Oryzias latipes: one gene and its partners. The protein of the gene in region 2 interacts with the protein of the main gene of each other region in a biochemical or structural test. Links are inferred from orthologs where the notes say so. Each region holds a gene or a part of one and is shown on either strand. Other genes may lie near its edges.

Region 1 (5,176 bases), on a different chromosome or scaffold from region 2:
AGGTTTAAACATAACCCATGAACAAATGTTCAGTAGACAGAGACAATGGACCAAAGACATAGACAGTGGTCACAAAAACATATATTTGGCACAAACAGAACCTCATATACTATAACATGTTTGGTATTTCTAGGAAAATGTATTTTTTACCATCTCTCTGTTTTGACAAAAGATCCTTTATAGTGTTATAACAGAATTTTTTTTTGTCTCTGGTTCATCTCTTAGACTTCTCTAGAAAGTGGATCCGTCCTTGTATTATTTCGGTTTCTCTTCATTTAAGGAATCCTAAAACGACGCCCTTTCCTTTCAAACATAGTGAAGTTATCAAACACATTGGGAAACACTGATAAGGTTGGGTTGGCATAATGTAAATTCTCATTAACCATTTGCACTGTAGTGGTTCATTTTGGTCTCAATGGACTATCTTTCAGAGATTCTGCTTCCTATTTATTACATCCTAATGGATATCTTAGCCTCCATGCTTCTAATTTGTCAGTATAGGACTCAATGTGTAACCACAAGGCTCTTTAGAACAGAAGATTGTCTTGCTCCATTTAGATCGAGAACTGAAAGATTTCCTGGATCCTGGATGAAGTGGTGACTCAAACATCAAACTTCTATGTTTTATCAAAAACATGTGTCCATGGCAATTGCTTAGAATGATTCCTTAGAATTTGATAGTCTATGTTTATGCTGTAATTGGTTTTTATCTAATAGGTACCATCTGCAGACTACAAGTTTTGATTTTCTGTTCACTTTTGATACGCGCAACCTGATTCTGCTAACGATTTTTCCAACTTTAAAGAAGTCAGTATTAAATATTGTAAAAAAAATAAAATTATAAATATTTGGCTAAATCAGTGATGTGACATTGTCCATTCCTGGTAGGTTCCATTCCATACATGTTAGTGTTTCTCCGCTCGATTTAATTTTGTATTACTGCTCAATTTCAGTCTCACTGATACATCCAGTTGGAGCAGTTTGATTTATTTCAGAGCTAGATTGGTTGGTTTACTGTAAAGTAAAATAGTTAAGATTTAGACTGACTCCTATTTTACCTCTTCAAATTCTCCTCAGATCTTATCTCAGAGTTTCCATTTGTAGCAACAATATCTTGCACTCTTAAATGTTGAGTAAATATGACCTTGTTTACTTCTGCGTCATGGAACATGAGATCCGGCAAAGCTCCTTCATTGTATTAATATATTACATCATGATACAGTTGTGTAGATTGACAAATATGTGTGTGGTGTTAGTCATACATCTTATCTTATGGCTGACCTATCACCATCACTCTCCTCTATCAGTTCTGGGGAGTGACTCATCTGCAGTCATGTGGTTCACTGGTCATGTGAGACATTGTTCCACCATGAAAGTGAGCAGGAAAAAAAGTGTCTGCTCGTGAGTCATGTCATTATCCTAGCTTTGCTTCTTAATATTAAACATTACCACCGCTCTGTATTGGAAAGCAGAGTAATTATCGGAAATAGACCAGCCTAGCTAACAATAAGCTTCCATTAATAAACTGGACTGTCAACAGCCATGGAAAAGAAATCAGAGCAGCAACTGGCTGTTACATGCGGAGTCATATAACCAGTGTCGTGTGACGGTAATGTCACAGTTATTATAGTTTTTATTTTAAAAGAAATATCCTTTAGCTCAGTGTTTAGCAGTTTGTTGGATCCCTGCTCAAAACAAGTAATTTAGCATTCTAGTTTATCACTTTGGAAGTCTCAGCATTAATGCTGTTGTGCAGCTTTAAATCTGTCTTACAATCCAAATGATCTATTTCTTCAACTTGAGCTTCAGTTTGATTCAGAATTATGTTGAAAGTCTTTCATTTTGATTTCCTGTAATTTCCTGTAATTCAATAGTAGAAGGTAAAAATATTTGTTGGAGGAAGGAGCAGCGAAACATTAGATGAACTGCAGTCACAGGAAGTGCAGTCCTGAGTGAGTGAGCCAAAGCAGATGTAACAGTTCACTAGACATTCAGCGTAAGTCTGCCTTCTTCAAGCTGGTTTTTCTTTCTTTTTAAAAGAGTAAACAAGATTGAATAAGATCGAGAGGGCAGACTTTCGATAATGGCATAATTACTTGTGTTTTACTGTAACTTTGTTTTCTGTTAGGGGGTCTGCTCTGGTTTTAAAATTGTTCATTTGGGTCAAGTATCCAAACAGAACCACTGGCCCCTTCTGACTTAAAGCTGAGATGAGCCTGGAGAGGAATGTAGGTTGTCACCAGAGCTATTTTGGCAATGTCCAGTCGCTAATGATTGTGATCACAGCGGAGTGCGCAGCAGTTGCTTTACTTGCTTCTTTTTCCTACCAGCAAGTGTGATCATGCTGCTCTTACAGGCGCTGCAGGGATTAGGGAGTTAAACAAATGGCGCGTCGGCTCCGCTTGCATTTCGCGTCAAGGAGAAGCAACACGGACCCCCTGTCACAAAGCCCGAGCAGCCACGATGAGGAGAGCGGAGTTGGTGCGTCTGTACGTAGTCCCACACAGAGTCTGGCGCACAGTTCTGTCCACTTGAAGGTGACTCCTCTGTCACCAGACTTTGCCAACAGTCAATACTCTTCAGTTTTCATACCGAGAGTTAACACTGGAGGGTGTAATACGAAGAGCGTTCTACAAATCTCACTGCAGCCCTGTGGACAGCTCAGTGGAGAGCAGGATGGCAGCATAGAGGATGGAGACCCTGGGGTTAATGAAGGCGGCGGAGGGTCGTGCCACAGCAGCATGGCAAGTGATGCTGGTTACTGCAGCAGCAACAGCATCTTTGAACCGGAGCCTCCAGAAAAGCACAAGACCAACCACGAGAGAACTCGACTCTCCTGGAGAACCAGAGTCCCACTGCGGAGGTGCTCGTCTTTGGTTATATTTCCAAAAAGCCCCTGCAGCACTCCACCTGCCTCCCCAGTGAGTTCAGGAGCTTTGCCACCTCTCCTGCCAGCAAGAGGATCTAGTCATTCAACTCCTCAGTCATCTACCAATACATTTTCACAAGACGACGAGGAAGTAAGTTACAAAGGGTCCACCACAGCTGCAGTCAGTTGCCAAAGTCAGCCAAGAGGAAACTGTTCAGCAGCTGAGGACTCGAAACACACGGTGCACTTTAATCTGCCTGTACAGGATAAACAGCAGTCCAAAGCTGAGAGCAGGAATGCAGGGGCAGAAGTTTCATCAGCTCCAGACAGGTCTAATCGTCACTCAAGTAGTTTGCTGCTGCATTTTACCCCCCACAGTCCACAGGGCTCGACAAAGGCAGCTCTCAGTAAGGATGCAAATGTGGAATATCCAGAGGCTCATCACCCTACTAATCGTGCTGAGCATGTACATGATGGGAAAAAAAAACTGTATCGCAGTACCTCTGCTTGTTTGTTTCCTTCTACAAAACCATCGCCCAAAAGGAAGCCTTGTTTAACGGGGAATGGCCAAGACTGGTCTGAGGATGGTCGCTGTCACCGTGCCGTGCAAAGGAGTTTTTCCCTCGAGGTGCCGTACCCTAACACCGAAATTTCATGTCACGTTTCAAAACCGAAGCTCAGCAGCTCTTATTCTCCCCATGTGCATATTCATTTGTCGCCCTGTTGCCCCACAAAGTTGCCCAACTCTACCAATGATGTAAACACAAGCCATAAATGGAATAATGAAACAAAGAGTTCAGGTCAGAGCACCAAGGTGAGTGCTATATTTAACGCTAACACCGACTAACAGCTGAATGCCTGAACTGGGATGTTGTGAAAACTAACATCTGTCAGAATTTTTTTTTAATGTAGATTATTGCCATATAGTTTTTCTGTGACATAAGTTCTGCTGAAAAAGTTGCTAAATAAGTCTAGCTTACAAAGATGTAATCTTACCCATCAGGATACTATTTAAAACGGGGTAATTGGTGCAAAATGCAAATGACAGGGTTTTATAAAATATGTAAATAACAAATAATTTAGAATTTTTGCTACCAGAAAAAAAATAGTTTCAATAAAATTTAAAGAACAATGCTACATATTAAGTACACATTTGTTTTTTCTAACTCTCCTTTTCATTTACTACCACTAAAGTGTTGCTTACAAGGGTTAGCCTTCAGGCTTTGTTCAAGACGTGCTGTAACTCCATAAGATCTTGAATACAAAGTCACGCAAAGAACAAGTACAGTGTGGACAAACACTTAGAGATATTGATTTACATTATATTTAATCCTTCCAAATGTGGATTTCCAAATAATGTGTGAATTGCAAAGACATGGTTCTTTACCATCTTGGGGGCATAACAATCCAATGTTGGGCAAACTCAACAGTTCCCTACTTTTATGATTCGGTTAGCACTATGAAGGATCAACTTAAGTATATCCCAAGGCTAATTTTAGTGGTGGGAAAAGTGCTGCCCCTTGCTGACTTAAATAAAGGGGCTCTGAAATATTCCCCCTGACTCCAGATAGTCTGGTGGACTGAAGCACTGCTTGGTCCTGTGGATTCAAATTTAACAGCATGATACTAGAGCAGCACACAGTCATGCCAGCCATCTGTGGACATGGCATGTGTGTGCGTGTTTCCCAGTACGTGTGCTGCCTGCACTGTTGTTCGTCTTCCAAGCAATGTTTGTTAAGTATTATGTGTCGGTCTCCCCACACTTTTGGCAGGTTGTAAGAAACTAAGGATTTCTGTCACATTTAGATGGTCTTTTCATTTTTAAAGATTTTAATGTTGCGCCCTCCTTTTAAATCATACTTTGTTCTAAATGCAGCAAGGACTACTAAAAGGTACTTGTAATGGTTATTCAGTCAAGTCTCACATCACACATGTGCAGTTAAAAACCTTTTTTTTTTACTCCTGTTCCACTTGCACTTCACCACCAAAGACATTTACTGCGTTATGTGTAAACTTGTCTCATACTGTAATAATGCTTGTATGTTGTTCCTAAATTTCATGCTTTTCCCCTCAAAATTTGTTAAATTTGTTGAAGTTTAAATACTTCCTCAGCTCATTTGCTGTGTTACTGCTCTATATTTATCAGAATGTTACTGTCACACATGTACTGTATAAAAATACATAAACTGGACACAAATATAGCCGCTTGCTTTGGTTTTTCAAGTTATTCTTTCATTAGTGGTGTCATGCCAGTCCAAAATGTCCAAATTACAGAATAACTAGGACTGCACTTGATCCGCACTTGAT
Region 2 (5,050 bases):
TCCAGAAATGTTTCAAGTATTTTAATGTGAGATGATGGGTTGTGATTTCCAAACAAAAGGATTTGGGGAAATTAAATTTTTGATCTTTTGATTAGAAAGACACGGTCTGACTCAGAGGGGTAAATGTAATCCTTTTCAGCACTTTTGCTACAGTCACATGACTGGAAATATGCGCTTATTATAATTTTTTTGGGAACTCTGCCTTATTTTCCTTCTGTTTCTCAATCGGTTTTGGTTTCACAGTTCAGAATTGTTTTAGGAAATTGCTTCAACTTAAGGTTTCCTAAAGTCTTGAGCCTAAAGCCATGGTCGCAGATTGTATTTCAAATTCTACCCTGAAAGGCCTCGTGTCAACTCCTTGGTTTGCTTTGAAGCTGCCAATGAAGGTGCCATTAGGTTACAAACTGAAATAAAATCCTAATGTTTTTCAAGAAAAGTTGTGCATAATTAAACATTTCATATGGACAGTTTTGGTCTGTAAGTTTAAAGTTATGTCAAATCTGATTTGTTGCAAATAAATTATATGTACCTGAAATTCAAAGTTGTCCGATTTGTTTTTTTGATTATTTAACATTTAAATGCTGTTTGATCCAAATATATGATAAATCATCTTTTGTTAAAGCGCTCCCAGTGCTCTTTTAAGTACGATTATGCAGTTTTAGGCAAAATCAAAAAACCTGTGTTGTTTTTTAGGAAATTGTTTCTGCAGAGCAACAGGAGTTCAATAGAAATTCGCCTCTGAGTTGTGGGCAGGACTGTTAGCGTGGAGCAGCCCTGCTTTTCAACATTATGTTGTTTGCATGCCTGCCCACGATCTTACAGCCCCTCACATCCCCAACATTACTGGCACAGGAAAAATGATGAGCAACATCAGAGTTATCCAGCCGTACAGTTTAGAGCCAGATACCAATTCGAACGGGGAAAATGAAGGATGGATCTATTTGTCTGCAAGTGGACGCATCGGAATGGAGTGGAGCAGACAGAGAACTTGTGGTCTGACGACTGTAGCTTCTACGTCACTGCTACAGGCTTTTTTTAAACTGCTCATAATTGCAGACGATTTCATTTTAGAAATGCAATTTTAATCTTATTATATTTATATATATGTATATAAATATATATATATATATTGTGTGTATATATTGTATATATATAAATGTATATATATATATATGTGTGTATGTATATATATGTGTATATATATGTGTATATATATATATATATATATATATATATATATATATATATATATATATATATATATATATATATATATATATATATATGTGTGTGTGTGTGTATGTATATATGTGTATATATATATGTGTGTGTATGTCTATATATGTACATATATGTATATATATATATAGATATATATATGTGTGTGTGTGTGTGTCCTCCATCATTAGAGAAATGCCTCAATAACATGTTAAAAACATGATTTGCTTTGGAGTGGGTTTTTAAAACTGCAAAAGTCACTGTAGTAAGTATTACAATTATTGGTGAACCGTCTTTCACAGCCCATTCTCAAATTTAGTCCTCGGCACAGAATGCTGCGTTGCCATGGTAACAGCATCTTCCTCATGTTTTGCTCCTCCTGGATACACATCCTCGTCTGGGTCCTGTGATTGGACGTGCTCTCCGTGGATGTCACCGGGGCAACCAAATGATGGGAATTGGAACACGTGAACGGAAGTGTCACCTCTGGATTTCACTGGCTCCCCTCCGCGAAGCTCTCATTCAGCCACGAATGAGACGTTGGAGGCACCGGCACTTCCATTGGGCTGGCCACGCGTCCGTCTGAGAAGGGACCGACCCCCCTCCCTCCCCTCATCCCACCTCCCTCTGCTCGGCTCGGTACGGTAGCCGAGCGGGGACCGGCTGGTTTCGCAGCGGCCGCGGGTCTCCACCCGAGAGTATGGCGGATGGGAGCGCGTTGGATAGCGGGGGAGAAGCGGAGACATGTCAGGGAGGGAATAAGGAAACAAAGAGAGGCCAGTTCTTTCACCCAGTGCAGATGTAGGCTTCCTCGATCCGGGTTTCTCCGAGGCTTCGCGCTCGTTCTCTGGCGTTTTATTTCCCCGATCATGGAGCAAGTTTGTTTTTTGTCATGCACAGAGACGGGTGAGCTCAGCGGATGAACCCCCGCTCGGTCCACGTCCTCGGGCCAGCGTTCGTGCGTCTCCCCGCTCGGTTCGGACAGCCGCGGTCCCCGCATGCGGGGGTCCGGCCTGCCATGGCGATTGTCTGACTATGAAGCCCGTGTCGGGGCAGCGAGTCTTTGTGCTCTGCCGTTGCTCGCGTTGACACCGACATGGCACGCGGATGCTGAGCGCCGTGAGTGCGGGATCCTTTCTTCCTGTTCGATTCAATGACAGCGTCGGTTCCGCGGCGACTCGACTAAATCCACGATGCGCGAGTATAAAGTGGTCGTCCTGGGCAGCGGGGGGGTCGGGAAATCCGCCCTCACCGTGCAGTTCGTCACCGGGACGTTCATTGAGAAGTACGACCCCACCATAGAGGATTTTTATCGTAAAGAGATCGAGGTGGACTCTTCACCGTCGGTGCTGGAGATCCTGGACACGGCCGGGACCGAGCAGTTCGCCTCCATGCGGGACTTGTACATCAAAAACGGCCAAGGGTTCATTCTGGTGTACAGCCTGGTCAACCAGCAGAGCTTCCAGGACATAAAGCCCATGAGGGATCAGATCATTAGAGTGAAAAGGTTGGTGGTGACCTCAAAAGCCCCCCCCCCCCCCCCTCTTTTTTTTATTCTTTTTACACTCCAGAAAACCAAACTCATCTTCTCCTTAGACTTCACATTGCTGACAGGGCACCAATCCTAAATACCATCTGCTTTTACAGAAACCTGCTATTATGTGGCTCCTGGATCCACACAGTGACTGCGGCTCCCTGCAAAAGCTTTAAATACCCATGATTCAGTGCAGCACAGAGACATCCAATGAAGAATGTGCGTGTGTGTCCTGCAGAGGAAGCCCCTGTCTCACATCGGGCCGGTTCTGCAGACGGGGAGCCCACGTTTGTGCTCAGCAGCCTTCACAAAAGAGCCGCGCCGTAACTTGCGCGAGCATCCGGATGTGAGGTCACTCGTCCTGCTTCATGGTTGATGTTGCATGATGTCATGAAATCCTACCGAGAGCTTAAATGTGTTGTGTCATGGATGCAGCTGCAGCAATCACCCACGCTGCATTTGTTTGTCTTTTATTTTCCGACCAGTGCGCAGCGTGCGCTGAGCTGCAGCTGTTCGGGGTCATCTGTCATGCGTTAGAGCGCTCCACAAAGACCAAGAGAAGGCACGTTGAGGGGTTTTGAGGATGCAGTTACAGCTCTGCGTCAGTTTTCCTGTTCCTGCAATTAAAAATCTCCACAAAAAAAAGTGAAGAGTGAAGAGAAAAACTCCAGAGATGTTTATTATGCTGATTAATTTAAGATCTTTTATGTTATTTGAATCTTATCAAACATACTTCCCGAACAATCCTGGTATAATGTGTCACTGCTTGAAAGAATGAGGTCAACATGTTTCCCCCACATGAATAGAAAATAGAAAGAGGTAGATCTGTCTGCAGTGTGCCAGTGTGTGTTCTTGTGTCAAAAGTGTGTGTGTGCTCATACAGAACGTCGCACACAAGGCAAAACTGTTGTGAGACTTTATATCTAGTATTGATTCTGATGATTTTTCCTGACACGGCTGCATCTTTTTTAGGGCTTAAGCACTTTTCATAAGCGTATCCAAGTCAACCTAAAGGGATGTAATGATTGTGAGTGGTCTTTTCTTTAGTTATTAAGCTTCGATCCACATTGCGTTGGCCTCTAAAGATTCTCTCCAATGACAATCGTGTTTTGGGTGTTTTTAACATGTTCTTGTAGCATTTTTCTGACGATGGAGGGCAATATACAGAAAAGTACCATTAAAATTGTGTTTAGGGTTAAATCGTTGTGAAGCAGAGGGTGCCTGCTTGAAACTCAGCATGGGAGGGTTAAAGTAGAGAGCCATTGGGTCCCGTTTGTTATGGTCTTTGGGATGACTTAAAAGTAGATTTGATGATGGACACTCTACCTCCTTTAGCTTCTTACCCGTACCTTGTGTGAGAACTATAGTGATTGGTCGGACAATTGAAGTGGGTCGTGTGATTAACGCTCACTGATTTGGCGGTGCATGCTGAACCCATTAAAGGGTCTGAAATGTGAGATTTGATCTGCATTTTAGGAATCTCTATGTTCACCCATCCACCCATCTTCTAAACCACTCAATCCCTTTTGGGGGTCACCGGGTTGCTGGGGCCTATCCACGCCAATAGTGGACAAAGGCAGGGCACAGCCGGGACAGGTCACCAGTCAGTTCCAGGGCCACACAATCAATCACACTAACACACTCTTAGGAACAATTTCAGATTCAACAATTAACATATCAAGCATGTCTTTGGACTGCGGGAAGGAACTGAAGTACCTGGAGAAAACGCATACATGCAAACATGCGAACTCCACACAGAAAGGTCCCAGCTGGGAATTGAATTAGGGCCTCCTGGCTGTGAGGCGAGTGCTAACCTCTACCCCACAATGCAACCTTTCTGTTTTCCAATTACTCTATTTGGCTACAGTAACAAAAATCTTCCTCTGATTCAAACACATCATAAACGGTCATCCCTGCATTTACTGCAGTGATCCAGGGATTTAGCATAACAGCGCGTTAGCAGGCCCCAGGACAAAAAAAAAAGTGTTTTCTAGCGGTTACCAATGAATGACAGTCAAAGATTTAACTGGAAAAGTCAGTTCTCCTCTTATAATTTCCTTCTTTGGTCTTGTCAGCACAGTGTGACGTTTCCCACCTAGTTTGGTTTGCTCAATGTACCAACTCCTAAAGGACCATCCTAATAAGAAAAGACCCAAAAGGCAAAATCAGCTAAGAAGTCAGCCTTTGAACAAGTTAATAATTCCTGTTTTCCGATCATTTGAAAACAGAATGGCTTTCTTGTCTCATTTCTGCTTGGGCAATAATATATTTTAGTATCAGTCAAGTTATAGTTGGTTG
Region 3 (5,110 bases), on a different chromosome or scaffold from region 2:
TTTGAATACTATATTGCCAGGTGGAAGCCTCAAATTTAGGATGTTCTTAAGCTGTATTACAGTATGCAATGGAGCTCGAAATTGGAGGTTACTTAAGCTGGTATCATAGTATGCCGGATGGAAGCATCGAAATTATAGCCGTTAAGCTTGTTCGTAGTAAAGATGGAAACTTCTAAATCATGGATGTTACTTAAGCTTTTATCATATTATGCCAGTGGAAGCTTCGGATTGGATGTTAAGCTTCGTGTCTGTCATGGCGTCGTAGACGTGGCAGACCCGGAAGTAAACTCTCGACCAGAAATAGTTTGCAAAGAGGTTTTAATTCTCCTGGGGGTTTACAGAGCCTCCAAGTGAGCGTAGCTTGAATAATCTTTGGATGAAGATCTGACGTCCCAGGAGCGCGGCGGACCGTGGAACCTGAGGAGCGTAGCGTGGGGGAACCGAGGACGGCGGAATCAACTTGAGGTTGAGCAGGATGCCAAGGACGGCGGAGCGACTTGAGGCGAAGCGTGGACGCCGAGGACGGCGGGACCAGCGTGGAACATGGAGAGGAGCTCTGCCACGGGAACCAGCGTGACCAGTGGGAGATGAACCTGAAGGTGAGCACAAGCGAGGTAAGTAACGTGACTTGACTTGGTTTAGAAAATACTAAAAAGCCAGACATAAGCACCGGAGTGAGTATAACAAACTGGCGCTGGATACTGGAGAGGAGAACCCTTAAGAAGGCAGGCAGGAGATGAGGAGATGCAGGCCAGCTGGTTCCAATCAGCAGAGCAGGAGCAGGAGTGCTGGGAGGGGGAGGTGGCTGACACAGGCACCGTGACAGTGTTGTCTTACAGGTTGGTGCTTGGCGGATCAATTTGTAGTCCCCTACAGCGTTCTTGCGAACATGGCTCCACATTCAATTTGCCTGGTTCTTTTCCTTCCTGTGTTCCCTTCGTGGCGCTGTACTCGAACGGGAGCAGCCCAACGGTCAATGGTGCCTGGTCACACATAGTCATACTTGTAAATCTGAATATGGAATACCTCTGAAACACACTTCGTCTGACTTACACACTGATTATACATTTACATTTTCTTCATCTTGATGATATTTGGTGTTGGGGGTAGTTATTACCCAAAACTTTTATGGAAATTTTGTTTCATGGAATTGTACAGAGCCTTATGCCAAACTAAAAGAATGTGAATTAAAGTATGGGAATGCCAAACTAAAAGAATGTGAAAATAAATATATTTTTGCTGCATTAGTTGTCTGACTGGAATGATATTATTGCTAAAAATGATGCAGGAGTCCAGCTGTAAAGAAATGACAAAAGAGCAAAGAAAACGGAATGATCTGATTTGTTATTTCTAATTATTAATTTATTTAGGCTTTGTTTTTTTTGTTCTGCAGCATGTTCATTTTTGTATAATTTTGACAGAATTTATTTTTATGTAGAGCAAAATATTATTTGTTATGTAAAGTTTAACTTCATTTATTCTGGATTAATATGCCTGTTTTTATTCATATTTATGTTCCAAGAGTTTAGTTTTAAAGGTTTTACATTTTTAAAAGATTAGCTTTAGTGTGTTTAATAAATGTTTACCTTGTTCGGCCCCCTGTGCGACCGAGTTTGACCCCGCTGTAATATGAGTTGATAAAATGTATGCATTTTTGGTGTAAAGTGGTCAAATAAGCACAGGTAACACAAAAAGAATCCCATCAAATGGGTATGTGTGAGGGGGGGGGGGGGGGTCACTCGCCCGCCCAGGAATTATTTAGTGTAGAACCGCCACTGGTCGTAGTCAATGGGTTGTTGGGCTTCGTGCTGCGGGGCAGGGACACAGCTGTCTGATGACCAGAACCCGGACAGTGAACGCCTCGTTCGGCTGTTCAAGATGCTCCAGAACAACCCGAAAGACAGAAACTGCGATATCCGGGACGCCATGAATAAACACGCAATTGAAGTTCTAATATTCAGTCTTCTTGTGTTTTAGGTACGTTTGGAGGACAAACAAACAGTTGGAAAAATGAAAACTTTAAAGACTTTAAAGGGAGCGAGTTGCATTCAAGAGCGCCACTTTCGCCTCTGCATTGTTTCGCGTGTGATGCGTTCAGGATCCTCGTGATTTCTGCTGCTCCTCCTCAGCGTCGTCTCTTCTCCACCGGCAGCAGCATCCATTAAGGGTCACTGTACTCTCATCAGCCTCTTCTGACCCCGATTCACGTTTTTCCACCAGGATGCCGTGGTGGAGACGCAGCGAGCGCCTGTCAGGACTCGCGGACGCCAAGCTCCCCGTTTTCTCCCCGTCCTTCCAAGCGTGACTTGAAGGCAGCGGAGCGGCGATGTGAGCACCAGGAGACAATCGTCGATGGTCTGGCTGAAGCTAGCGCGCTAAGGTTAGCCGGGCCCGATCTCGGTGGGTGTTTCCCTCCCCTCGCCGTTCTCCCGTGAATCCCCCCGAAGGCCTCTCCGCGGATGTGAAGACATGCCCGAGCTTTCCAGGGGCTTTCTCCCAGGCATGAAGCCTCCTGGCGGCGTAGCCCCCCGGCCGTGAAGCATCCGCAGTCATTTTGTCCCCTCCGCGAAGATGATGCTGGCGGAGGAGCGGGTCTGACCGGGACTAGCTGGACGCTCTCTCCGTGAAGGCCATGATACCGAGAGAATGATAATGCTGGAAAAACAGGTAACATCTGGAGCCTTTGGCTCTGTATCTCAGAAAAATCTGACATTTTTTCACACTCCCATGACAACCAGCAAAAAACTGGCAATCAACCAGATCCAATGAAGTGCCAGCAGATATTTGGTACTTGTATAATATAGAGATACAATAAAGATGATAATCCTTCCACATTTCAGTTCATTCCTCTCCACATATTTCAGTTTCAGTGTAATTCACTGATAAATAAGTGCAGCTGTCAGATGAAGAGGGTCTTTTTGTTACCACATTTTAGGATCTTTAAAAGGTTGAGACTATAAATGTAAGCTTTCATTGTTGCTAAATATACATGGGGGGTCAATGCAGTTTAAAGTAAAGGAACAACATATTTTACACTTACAAACTCTTTATTTAAAGGCCATTTCAAATTAAGGCCAAAAGCTGAAAACTAAAACTACAACATTAAATGAAACTGACAAATAATAAATCAGCTTCAGTTTGCACCACTTTTCTCTTTTTTAAACTGTTTCAAGGCTCTGAGATATTGAAAATCTTTCATCTGATGATGCTCAGCACCAAACAGGCTGCAAGGTGATGCCGTACTGCCCGTCACAGAAACAGTAATGTGATTGTTTCTCTGTGTCTTTCTAAGATCCTTTATGTCTAATATAATTCAATTCAATTATTATTGTAGCCCAAATTCACAACAGTTGTCTCGATGGGCTGATATGGAGGTAGAGGAGATGAAGATGTTGAGGTTCTCCTTAGGAGTGACCAGGTTAGACAGGATAAGGAACGAGTACATCAGAGGGACGGCTCATGTTGCCTGTGTTAGCGACAAAGTCAAAGAAAGCCAGACTGAGATGGTTTGGACATGTTCAGAGGAGGGATAGTGGATATATTGGTAGAAGGATGTTGGAGATGGAGCTGCCTGGCAGGAGGGCAAGAGGACGGCCAAAGAGGAGATATATGGATGTCTTAACAGAGGACATGAAGTTGGCTAATGTTAGGGTAGAAGATGTCCATGATAGAGTGAGGTGGAGGACGATGATTCGCTGTGGCGACCCCTGATGGGAAAAGCCCAAAGAGAAAGAAAGTTGTCTCGATGGGCTTTCATATAGGTAATTGAAAAAGTTAAACATAAAATTAAAAAGATCATGAATACATAGAATTCATTCGGAAAATACTAAATTGACAAACTGACTAAACTAAACTGGCATCCCTGCCCTTAGACCCCCCTTCTCTGTAAGGAAAAACTCCTAAAAAACCGGATTCCGGAAAAAACAAAGAAACCTCAGGGGTGCCCACATGAAGGAGGGATCCTCCCCCAGGACGGAAAGGCGATTTACCAGAACTCTTAGAGAAGAATTAACTTAATCTAAATCTACAACTACATATTTAAAGTCCAGCAGATGAGCTTCATCCAGATGGAGTTAAAAATGTTTTACCCAGTTCTTTGTTGAACAGTGTCTTTTGTAGTTCACTAATGGGATGTAGTTTAGCTGCACCAGTTCAAAAAATTTGGGGGAAAAATAAATACCTAGATATTTGCTATTGCCTGATTTGACTGGTAGAGTCTTTGCTCTGCATTACTGTTCAGTGATAGTAAAAAAGATTTATTCCAATTGAGGAGTCGGATACGGAGGAGAATCCGTTAATGATTGTTTGCTATTTCACTTTCCGAATGTAGATTATGGAGAAAAAGTAATTTGTCATCTGCATAGAGACAAATTTTCTGATGGCTGTGTTTGGTTTTAATTCCTTTAATGCTCTCATTCTGTCTTATTGCTGCAACTAGAGGCTCCATAAATATAGCGAAAAGGGAGGGGGAGAGTGGGCAACCCTGTCTGATTCCTTTTCCAAGAAAAAAACTGTTGGAAGTCTGTTTGTTAGTTCTGACTGATGCATTTGGGTTGCAGCATAATATTTTAATCCAGTCAATGAATGATTCCCAGAACCCAAACTTATGGAGGGCAGCAATGAGGAACTTCCAATTTACCATGTCAAATGCTTTTTCAGCATCCAACGAGAGTATGGTCATTTCCTGGTTTGTAGTAGTGGCAAATTCTATTACAGTCAGTTGGTATCAATATTTGGACAGAGACACATTCTTTCTAATATAGTTTCTGTACATTACCACAGTGAATTTGAAATAAAACATCTCAGATGCCATTGAAGTGCAGACTTTCAGCTTTTATTCCATGGGTTGAACAAAAAGATTGCATAAAAATGTGAAAAACTAAAGCATTTTTTAAACACAATCCCTTCATTTCATGGCCTCCTAAGTAATTGGACAAATGAAATAACTGTAAACCAAATGGTCATTACTAATATTTGGTTGTTGGCAATGACAGCCTGAAGTCTTGAACTCATGGACATCACCAGATGCTGGTTTTCTCCTTCTGAATGCTCTGCCAGGCCTTTACTGCAGCGGCAAACAGTTGCTGTTTGTTTGTGGGCCTTTCTGTCT

Evidence for each region.
Region 1: the proteins of ras-related protein Rap-2a (region 2) and nedd4 form a complex in vitro, tested with the Homo sapiens proteins (2 studies listed by BioGRID). The link is inferred for Oryzias latipes from reciprocal best matches to the Homo sapiens genes RAP2A and NEDD4.
Region 3: the proteins of ras-related protein Rap-2a (region 2) and ralgds form a complex in vitro, tested with the Homo sapiens proteins (2 studies listed by BioGRID). The link is inferred for Oryzias latipes from reciprocal best matches to the Homo sapiens genes RAP2A and RALGDS.

What each region holds. Positions count from the first base shown.
Region 1 is NC_019861.2:21,566,550-21,571,725, forward strand, and holds the start of nedd4 (E3 ubiquitin-protein ligase NEDD4), read left to right. Parts: upstream 1-1,802; 5' UTR 1,803-2,384; coding exon 2,385-3,683; intron 3,684-5,176. UniProt on the Homo sapiens protein: E3 ubiquitin-protein ligase which accepts ubiquitin from an E2 ubiquitin-conjugating enzyme in the form of a thioester and then directly transfers the ubiquitin to targeted substrates. Specifically ubiquitinates 'Lys-63' in target proteins.
Region 2 is NC_019879.2:23,115,805-23,120,854, reverse strand, and holds the start of ras-related protein Rap-2a, read left to right. Parts: upstream 1-1,687; 5' UTR 1,688-2,411; coding exon 2,412-2,725; intron 2,726-5,050. UniProt on the Homo sapiens protein: Small GTP-binding protein which cycles between a GDP-bound inactive and a GTP-bound active form. In its active form interacts with and regulates several effectors including MAP4K4, MINK1 and TNIK.
Region 3 is NC_019867.2:33,311,351-33,316,460, forward strand, and holds the start of ralgds (ral guanine nucleotide dissociation stimulator), read left to right. Parts: upstream 1-1,736; 5' UTR 1,737-2,646; coding exon 2,647-2,667; intron 2,668-5,110. UniProt on the Homo sapiens protein: Functions as a guanine nucleotide exchange factor (GEF) activating either RalA or RalB GTPases and plays an important role in intracellular transport. Interacts and acts as an effector molecule for R-Ras, H-Ras, K-Ras, and Rap.